Linked DNA regions of Canis lupus familiaris. The protein of the gene in region 1 interacts with the protein of each later gene in a pairwise test. Links are inferred from orthologs where the notes say so. Each region holds a gene or a part of one and is shown on either strand. Other genes may lie near its edges. The genes, in order: TFDP1 and E2F6.

Evidence for each region.
Region 2: the proteins of TFDP1 (region 1) and E2F6 interact in binary tests that used the Homo sapiens proteins (3 or more experiments, as listed by UniProt). The link is inferred for Canis lupus familiaris from reciprocal best matches to the Homo sapiens genes TFDP1 and E2F6.

What each region holds. Positions count from the first base shown.
Region 1 is NC_049243.1:61,047,029-61,050,844, reverse strand, and holds part of TFDP1 (transcription factor Dp-1), read right to left. Parts: intron 3,352-3,816; coding exon 3,200-3,351; intron 2,505-3,199; coding exon 2,338-2,504; intron 1,565-2,337; coding exon 1,486-1,564; intron 1-1,485. UniProt on the Homo sapiens protein: Can stimulate E2F-dependent transcription.
Region 2 is NC_049238.1:8,172,562-8,176,377, forward strand, and holds part of E2F6 (transcription factor E2F6), read right to left. Parts: intron 3,678-3,816; coding exon 3,461-3,677; intron 1,200-3,460; coding exon 1,044-1,199; intron 1-1,043. UniProt on the Homo sapiens protein: Inhibitor of E2F-dependent transcription. Binds DNA cooperatively with DP proteins through the E2 recognition site, 5'-TTTC[CG]CGC-3'. Has a preference for the 5'-TTTCCCGC-3' E2F recognition site.

The DNA.
Region 1 (3,816 bases):
TATTTTAATGCCTTTTACTAGAATTAATGAACACCATATGATTAAAAACTATTAAAGGTGACAGTCTTTGACAAAGGAACTCCACATCTGTGAAATCCAGCCTAGCAAAAAAGTCAGAAAGGGTAAAAAAATTTAGCCAAAAAACGACTTCAAATTGCATCTTTTCTTCTAAGTGGGAACCACCTAACTGTCCAAGAAATCACTGTGCCTCGGTAAAGTATCAGTGCCAGTTTCTACACTAGTTTTTCTTCTGAAATGGTAGTGGCTCTCCTTACCTTGCTATAAACCTGCATTAATACCCAAATTCCGCCTCTTGGAATAACCAGTGCTCAGCATCCCACAGACTCACAACCACCCGTGCACAGCGGGAAGGTTACGACCACCTACTGAGCTGACCTCTGCCTAAATCTGATGGGGGCCAGATACTACACAAAGGACTGCGGTGACAACCCCACAGCCAGCCCATCGCATGGCGCAAGTCAAGAGCTTCACTCGTGTCACAGAACCCAGAAGCCGGTGACGGCCACAGAGCGCCACATCACCCTTGAGCAGATCAATTCCATTCTGTTGAACCTATAGACCACTAATCTATTTCACGCTTCAAGAAATTAGACATTTATTAGTATTTAAGACTGATATGAGACAATATGTATAATAACGTATAACATAACATGAAAGTTAATAAAACCATTGTTTTGTCAATACTTAATGCAGAAATTATCTTATGTTAATCTTTAGAAAACTAAGATAAATACCCAGCGACAACATAATCCTGCTTTTGCAGGATGGCTAGTTCAAAGGCTACTACATGGTGATTTAAATAATAAAACTTCAGTAACACACAAAAAAAAACACATACAGTAAATAATAAAGCAAAAAACAGAGGCCCCGGGTGGCTCAGTCAATGAAGCATCTGCCTTGGCCTCAGGTCATGATCCCAGGGTCCTGGGATTGAGCCCCACATCGGGCTCCCTGCTCAGCGAGGGGTCCCCATCTCCCTCTCCCTCTGCCCCTCCCCGTGCTCCTGTGCACACACACTCTATCTCTCAAATAAATACAATCTTAAAAAAAAGAAAGCAGGGATAAAGTTTTATGTCCACTGTGATCTCAACTGTGTTAAACAGAAATAGGAAACAGACGGAGAAACACCCCATCCCTCAGGCTGCCAGCAAGAGCTCAGGCAATTCCAGCCCTACCTTCAATGCATCCTACTTTTTAACAAATAAAAGGCACGCGCATCACTTTGATGTTTTAGGGGGAAGAAACCCTAAGCAAGAGGATCCTGTGTACCCAGGGGATGAGCTACGATGGGCCTTCAGGGGATGCAGCTCAAGAGGAGCTGTGGCCGGGAGCAGCCAAAACTGTGGGCAGAGTGTGGGGATCCGCCATCCACGCGAGGGAGCCAGTGGGGAGCCCTGGAGGAGGCAGGACGGTCTTCAGGAGAGCCAGGGGCTCCACCCACCAGCCAGCCCAGAGCTGTAGTACCTGGCAGAGAGCCTTGTGCCATTTGAGGTTGAAACTGATGACGTGACGAACACCCCTCCGATTGATCCCTGAGCCATCTCTGAAATGAGAAGAAAACAAGGCAAAGGTCACAGGTACAGGCCAGACAGCTGACCCGCCCTGCAGCTTCTGTGCCAGGACACCAGCCATCCTGCCCAAGAAGGCACCCAGTCCTTGGTTTACGTGATCACTGATGACCATGCAGCTGTCCCGTAAATGGACACTGTTTGAAAGTGGGGTCGAGAGCAGGAGGACCAACCCTGACTCCCCATCCCAGGAGATGGCATGCACTGCTGGCAGCTGCTGTGGTGTCTGATCCAGCCCAGTGGCTCTGGGAGGAGATCCACACCCCCAGGCAGTGCAGGGCCAGCAGCCTTCTCACCACAAAGCCCCTCCGTGGCCACGACCCCATGGCTCCTCAAAGGAGTCCCCAGAAGGGCAGCGAAAGCAGAGAACTGCCCCCCAGGCAAACCCGTCCTCACCCCCACATCGGGAAGAGGCAGAGCACAGCACTCCCCAGAGCCTCTTCTGGTTGTGGGACCTCAGAGGTCAACCACCCACCTCGTCCACACCCTCTGACATTCCAGTCCCTGCCTTCTTGAACCCAGAAGGTGAAATCCTAACTTAATACCTCCGTCACATAAACCACACAATGCCAATATGGCGTCCAGCCTGCCGGCCCTGTACCCTACCCGCCTCACGGCCCCAGGGCCCCCTTCCTGGCTGAGTCCACTCCTGGTGCCCGGTGCTGGATTTGGCCTCTGCAAAGGCGGGCCACACATCCAGAGCGGGGATCTGGCCCCATGGCCACCAAGGGGACCGGACAAGACTGACCTGTCACATAGGGTTCCAGTGCTTTCGGCACCAAACTCCTAGCCATCTTCAGGTCTTCAGCAGAGCAGCTTCCGGACTCCAGCCCACAGGCCATCCCCATGCGCTTCAGCACTTCTATGTCATCGTGGATCTCAAACGTGTTGTCAAAGTTGAAGAGATACTCAAACCTGAGAGACAAAGTCACCACCGGAAAATGAACCACATGCCACGTTCCTGACGGTGCAGGCATGTGGGGCACACGGGACACATGGGGCCCCAAGCAGAGTCACTCAGCCCAGCCTCCCAGGACCTTTTCTCATCTGGCATCCCACAAAACCCATCACCGCAGAAGCAGCAGGCATCACAGAGCTGAGCGTGGGGCAACTGCCCACACCTCAGGCCAATGCTGAAACTGAACACTGGCTACTGCTTGTACAAGGTTTAAACGGATGCGCTAATAATAACCCTGAGAGATTTTACATTTTAAGAGATAAACACAAAACCAGGGATGTGAAAAAGAAGTCTATCATCTCATTACACTGAAAGACTATATACAATAATCACAAATTAGATACTTCTATAAAGAAGTAAGTGGGGGCAGCCCGGGTGGCTCAGCAGTTTAGCATCCCCTTTGGCCCAGGGCGTGATCCTGGAGACCCGGGATTGAGTCCCACGTCGGGCTCCCTGCATGGAGCCTGCTTCTCCCTCTGCCTGTGTCTCTGCCTCTCTCTCTCTCTCTCTGTGTCTCTCATGAATAAATAAATAAAATCTTAAAAAAAAAAAAGTGAACATGCTACTTCTGAGTGTGACAGTGGCTTTCTCCACGCTGACCTGAGGCTCAGCTGGGACCTCAGAGTAGGGGCCCACTCATCAATGGACCTACTTGTCGTTGGAAATGCTGCAGTCGATCACGGTCTTCTTGCTGGTATTGACGATGATGAAGGGCAGGTGGATGACGGAGTTGGGGGGCGGCGGCCGGCTGGCCTGCTGCTCCGCCTGGCGGTTCCTCTGCACCAAATTCTTGAAGGCAATTTGCTAAAAAAGATGAGCCACCAGCACGCTGCTCACACCAGCTGCCACCAATCGAAGGCCTTGTCCATAGGTGTCCCAACAACTCTGCCCAACCCCACAGGACAGCAACAGGGGTCAGGCCCATGAGAGGCCAGAGCAAACCAGGGGGAGACGCAGGCCCCGTTGAGGGCTCAGCAGAGGATGCACACCCTGAACACCAAACAGCCCAAGGGGAATGGAGGCAAATGCTCAGGCCACTGAGATAAAAACGTCTCCCGGGAATGGTTAAAAGAAACGCATCAATGCTGGATATTCCATTCCTCCTGCCCCTCTGGGTCCCGAGAAGGCAGACATGGGGCCATGCCCCCATACGGACCTGGAGCAGCAAACATCTGCAGACCCGCTGGCACAGGGCTCTGAGGGTGTGGGCCCTGAGCTCTGCAGTGACGTACACCTTCACCATAACTCGCGTGTGGTCAGGTGAAAGCC
Region 2 (3,816 bases), on another chromosome or scaffold:
CAAGTGGAAAAAAATCTAAGAAAGAGCAGAAGCCACTAGGAGAGTATGTGCTTTGGGGCTATCATATACTTATGCGATTTCCTGTATCCCAAATATTTTCCATCTATGTGAATTTTTTTTATCTTTACTGTGTTACTTGAAATTTTACCAATTATGTGATTTACTTGGTTCCCCAACATTTTTGGTTTACTTTTTGATTGGGAAGAGGAACAGCATTTACTTTCCTTCCAGTAAACTGGACTCTGGAAACATCTGACTGATACAGAATCTAAGTAAATTTGAGGCATGGAACAGCTCGGAATCAGTGACGCCTCATTCAGGTGAGGCAAGAACGGAGCAGCAGATGGGCCGGGAGACACAGGAGAAGATTGCCACCACTGCCCCGTCTCCCCTGCTGGTCCCAGAGGCACATCCAGCTACACCAGGCTTTGTGGGCCAGAGTGGCAGCACTAGTACTGTCTCAATGACAAGTTGTTTCAGAAATAAACTCCGGTTAACAAATTAGGAAAAATGTCAATTTCACAAATGCCAACAACATATTTTACTACCTTTACAGCATTCTTTGACTAAAAAAACAAACAAGAACACACCACTATTTTCATTTTAAATGCAAACACTGATCTTGGTACATGGTCACAATGCAGCATTTAACGTGAGCAAATACCAGCAAAACAGCAATTATTTGTGTATACCTCAGGCTACACAATTTAACCTTTACTTACTTTTAAAAGTTCTAAAGCTCTAGTTTTGTGCTTTGAATATATTAATTAAATCCCCAAACTGATCCTACTATTTAAAGTAACCTGGTTTGAAAGGAGAGATTTTTTTTAAAAAAGGACAGTGTTAACAAACTGAGGGTGCTGGAGGAAAGGTGGGGGAGGAACTGGGTGATGGGCATTAAGGAGGGAACGAGACGGGGTGTGATGAACACTGGGTATTGTGTGCAACGGATGAATCACTAAATTCTACCTCTGAAACAACACAGTATATGTTAAATTGAATTTAAATAAAAAGTTAAAAAAAAAGACAGAGTTAAAGGATATCTTTCATTTTCTTTGTCGTCTGTTAATTCAAACAACTGCTGAGCACAATCCTTAATTAACTCATCCAAAGCATCTTCCATTGCTGATAAGTCAGAAAGTTCCTCCTGCAGCTTCTTCTGTTGGGGCACTGCTCCAAAATTGCTAAGATCAGATCCTCTTTAGAGGAAAGGTATTAAAAAAATAAATTAAAAAAATCACCATCAGACACATCTAGGAGAAAAGTTAGATTCCTAGAACTTCTCCAAATGTTGACATCAGGTATTTCCCAGAATGACAGACAAAACTAGGTACTTGAACATCAACCCTGACCTCCTTTTAGACAACCATTATTCCTCCTACACATAGACTGGCTTTTGTCCCCATTTCTAGTCTCTTACACAGGGATAAAACAAAAACAAAAACAAAAACAAAACCCTTATAACTAGGGAAATTAACAGTAGTAAGGAAAGCTGATGGAGTTCACTGAGCACAGACTGAGAACCAATAATACCCAGTGTAAGCCCCAGCTCTCCTACCTACAGTAGGACTTTGGTAGTTCTAATCTTTTAGTACCCTATGAAAAACAAGGAGTACTGACTAAAATTATAGTACTTTTGCTAAAATTCTGAGTATTTTCCCTCTCAAATGCATATTCTACTTGGTTCTATCTGAATATAATGTTATAGGGATCCCTGGGTGGCGCAGCGGTTTAGTGCCTGCCTTTGGCCCAGGGCGCGATCCTGGAGACCTGGGATCGAATCCCACTTCGGACTCCTGGTGCATGGAGCCTGCTTCTCCCTCTGCCTGTGTCTCTGCCTCTCTCTCTCTCTCTCACTGTGTGCCTATCATAAATAAATAAAAAATTAAAAAAAAAAAAAAAAGAATATAATGTTATATTCTTTATTCTCAGAAGATATATTTTCCTTAGTTGTTATGGTTTACCTATTACATTGGTATGATATGACCTGAGTCCACTGATACTAATTTTTCTTCTTTATGGAAAATAAAGAGGAAAAAGGCTGTGACCACTTTACCTTTTGCTTGGTAGTTTTCAAATCTGATTTTAAGTAGTGATTTAGAATGCAATCTGATATTAACCCCTAAAGTGTGGGGTGCCTGGGTGGCTTAGTCAGTCAAGTGTCTGCCTTTGGCTCAGGTTATGATCTCGGGGTCCCGGATCAAGACCCACATCAGGCTCCCTGCTCAGCGGGGAGTTTGGCTTCTCCCTTTCCCTCTCCCTCTGTGTGCTCTCCCTCTCTCTCTCAAATGAATGAATAAAATCCTAAAAAACAAAAAGTCCTAAAGTGTTATTTAATATTTTTTAGCTAATATTCAGATTAGAATTCAATCTGCATTTCTGTACTATTGGAATAAATAACTTCCTTTTATGAACCACTTTCCTCTAACAGCAAAGTGCATTACTTAGAGCCATTTCATGATCTTTTTTGTTAGATTTTTCATTTGCCTGAAATGAAATATATTTATATGTACTTATATGCTGGAACTGTTTCTTACTGATCTGAAATATTTGTCTATTTTAAGTATTAAAAGCTTTCTTGTTATGCACATGTGCATATACACATGTATATCTACATCTGTATCAAAAGGCCTTTTTTCCACGATCCTTCCTAATGAAATTGAAGTCTTTAGCAAATGCTTCTTTTTTTGAGAGAGAGAGTGTGAGTACGAGAGAGGGCAGGTGGGGAAATGGAGAGAAAGAATCTCAAGCAGGCTTCTATGCTCAGTGCAGAGCTTGATCTCTGAGATCACGAGCTGAGCCGAAATCAAGAGTTGGACACTTAAATGACTGAGCCACACAGGCACCCCCAGCAATTGCCTTTTAGATATTGTCTACGGATTTTTTTTTTTTTTTTTTTTTTTTTTTACATTTAGGGCAGTATGCGATCCTATGGATCTGAGCCCATCTGATTCATAATTACCTGGGGTAGCTGTTAAGAAGGTAGATTAGATTCCTGCCTTTGCCAAAGAACAAATGAATTACATACAACCCCTGGGGCATGAGGTCTCTAAGTGTTTATTACCTGACATTGTTTTACAACCTTAACTAGTTTCTCCTGATATCAACAATCAATTGGGGAAAAAAAAAAATCTCCTAAACAATCGGACGTCCCCTTCCTAGGATCTTGAAAATCAAAACTCTTAGAACTGATCATTATTCCATTCAACTTTTCCATAACATCAGAATTATATTTTAGGTCTATGGCTTTTATTTAGCCCTAAGTAGGAAAAAAAAAATATTTATGTACCTTGTTGGACCTTGTGAGAAATTTCTGTAGAATCCTTTTCTAACAAGAAGTCATCTCTTACTTTGTTTTGTCCTGTCAAAACACTAATATCTAGTCTGTTTCAAGTACAGTATCGTCACTTAATTAGAAGGAAGAAAAAAAAAGGCCATGAAAATTTCGAAACCAACTCACATCCATCGAATATGGTTCTTAGACTTTTTTTCAACCAGATCGATTCCATCTAAGACATTGGTGATGTCATATACTCTCCGTTTTCGCACTCCCAGTTTTGTGGCAACCTTGTTTAAGTCGAGAATACCCCCAGGAGCAGATCTGACAAGATCCATAAATTTTCGAGTTAAATAAACCAGAGATACATCAAAACGAGGTCTCTTCACTTTTAGAGCTTCTGGGAAACAAAACAGACAAATTTGTAAAATTCTCAATAGTATTGCTTTCTCAGCTCATTAAAAGAAATTTATTTCCTCAGTAAGCATAGACACCTACCAAAAATTCTATATACTGGACACATCATAGCTAATTTTTAT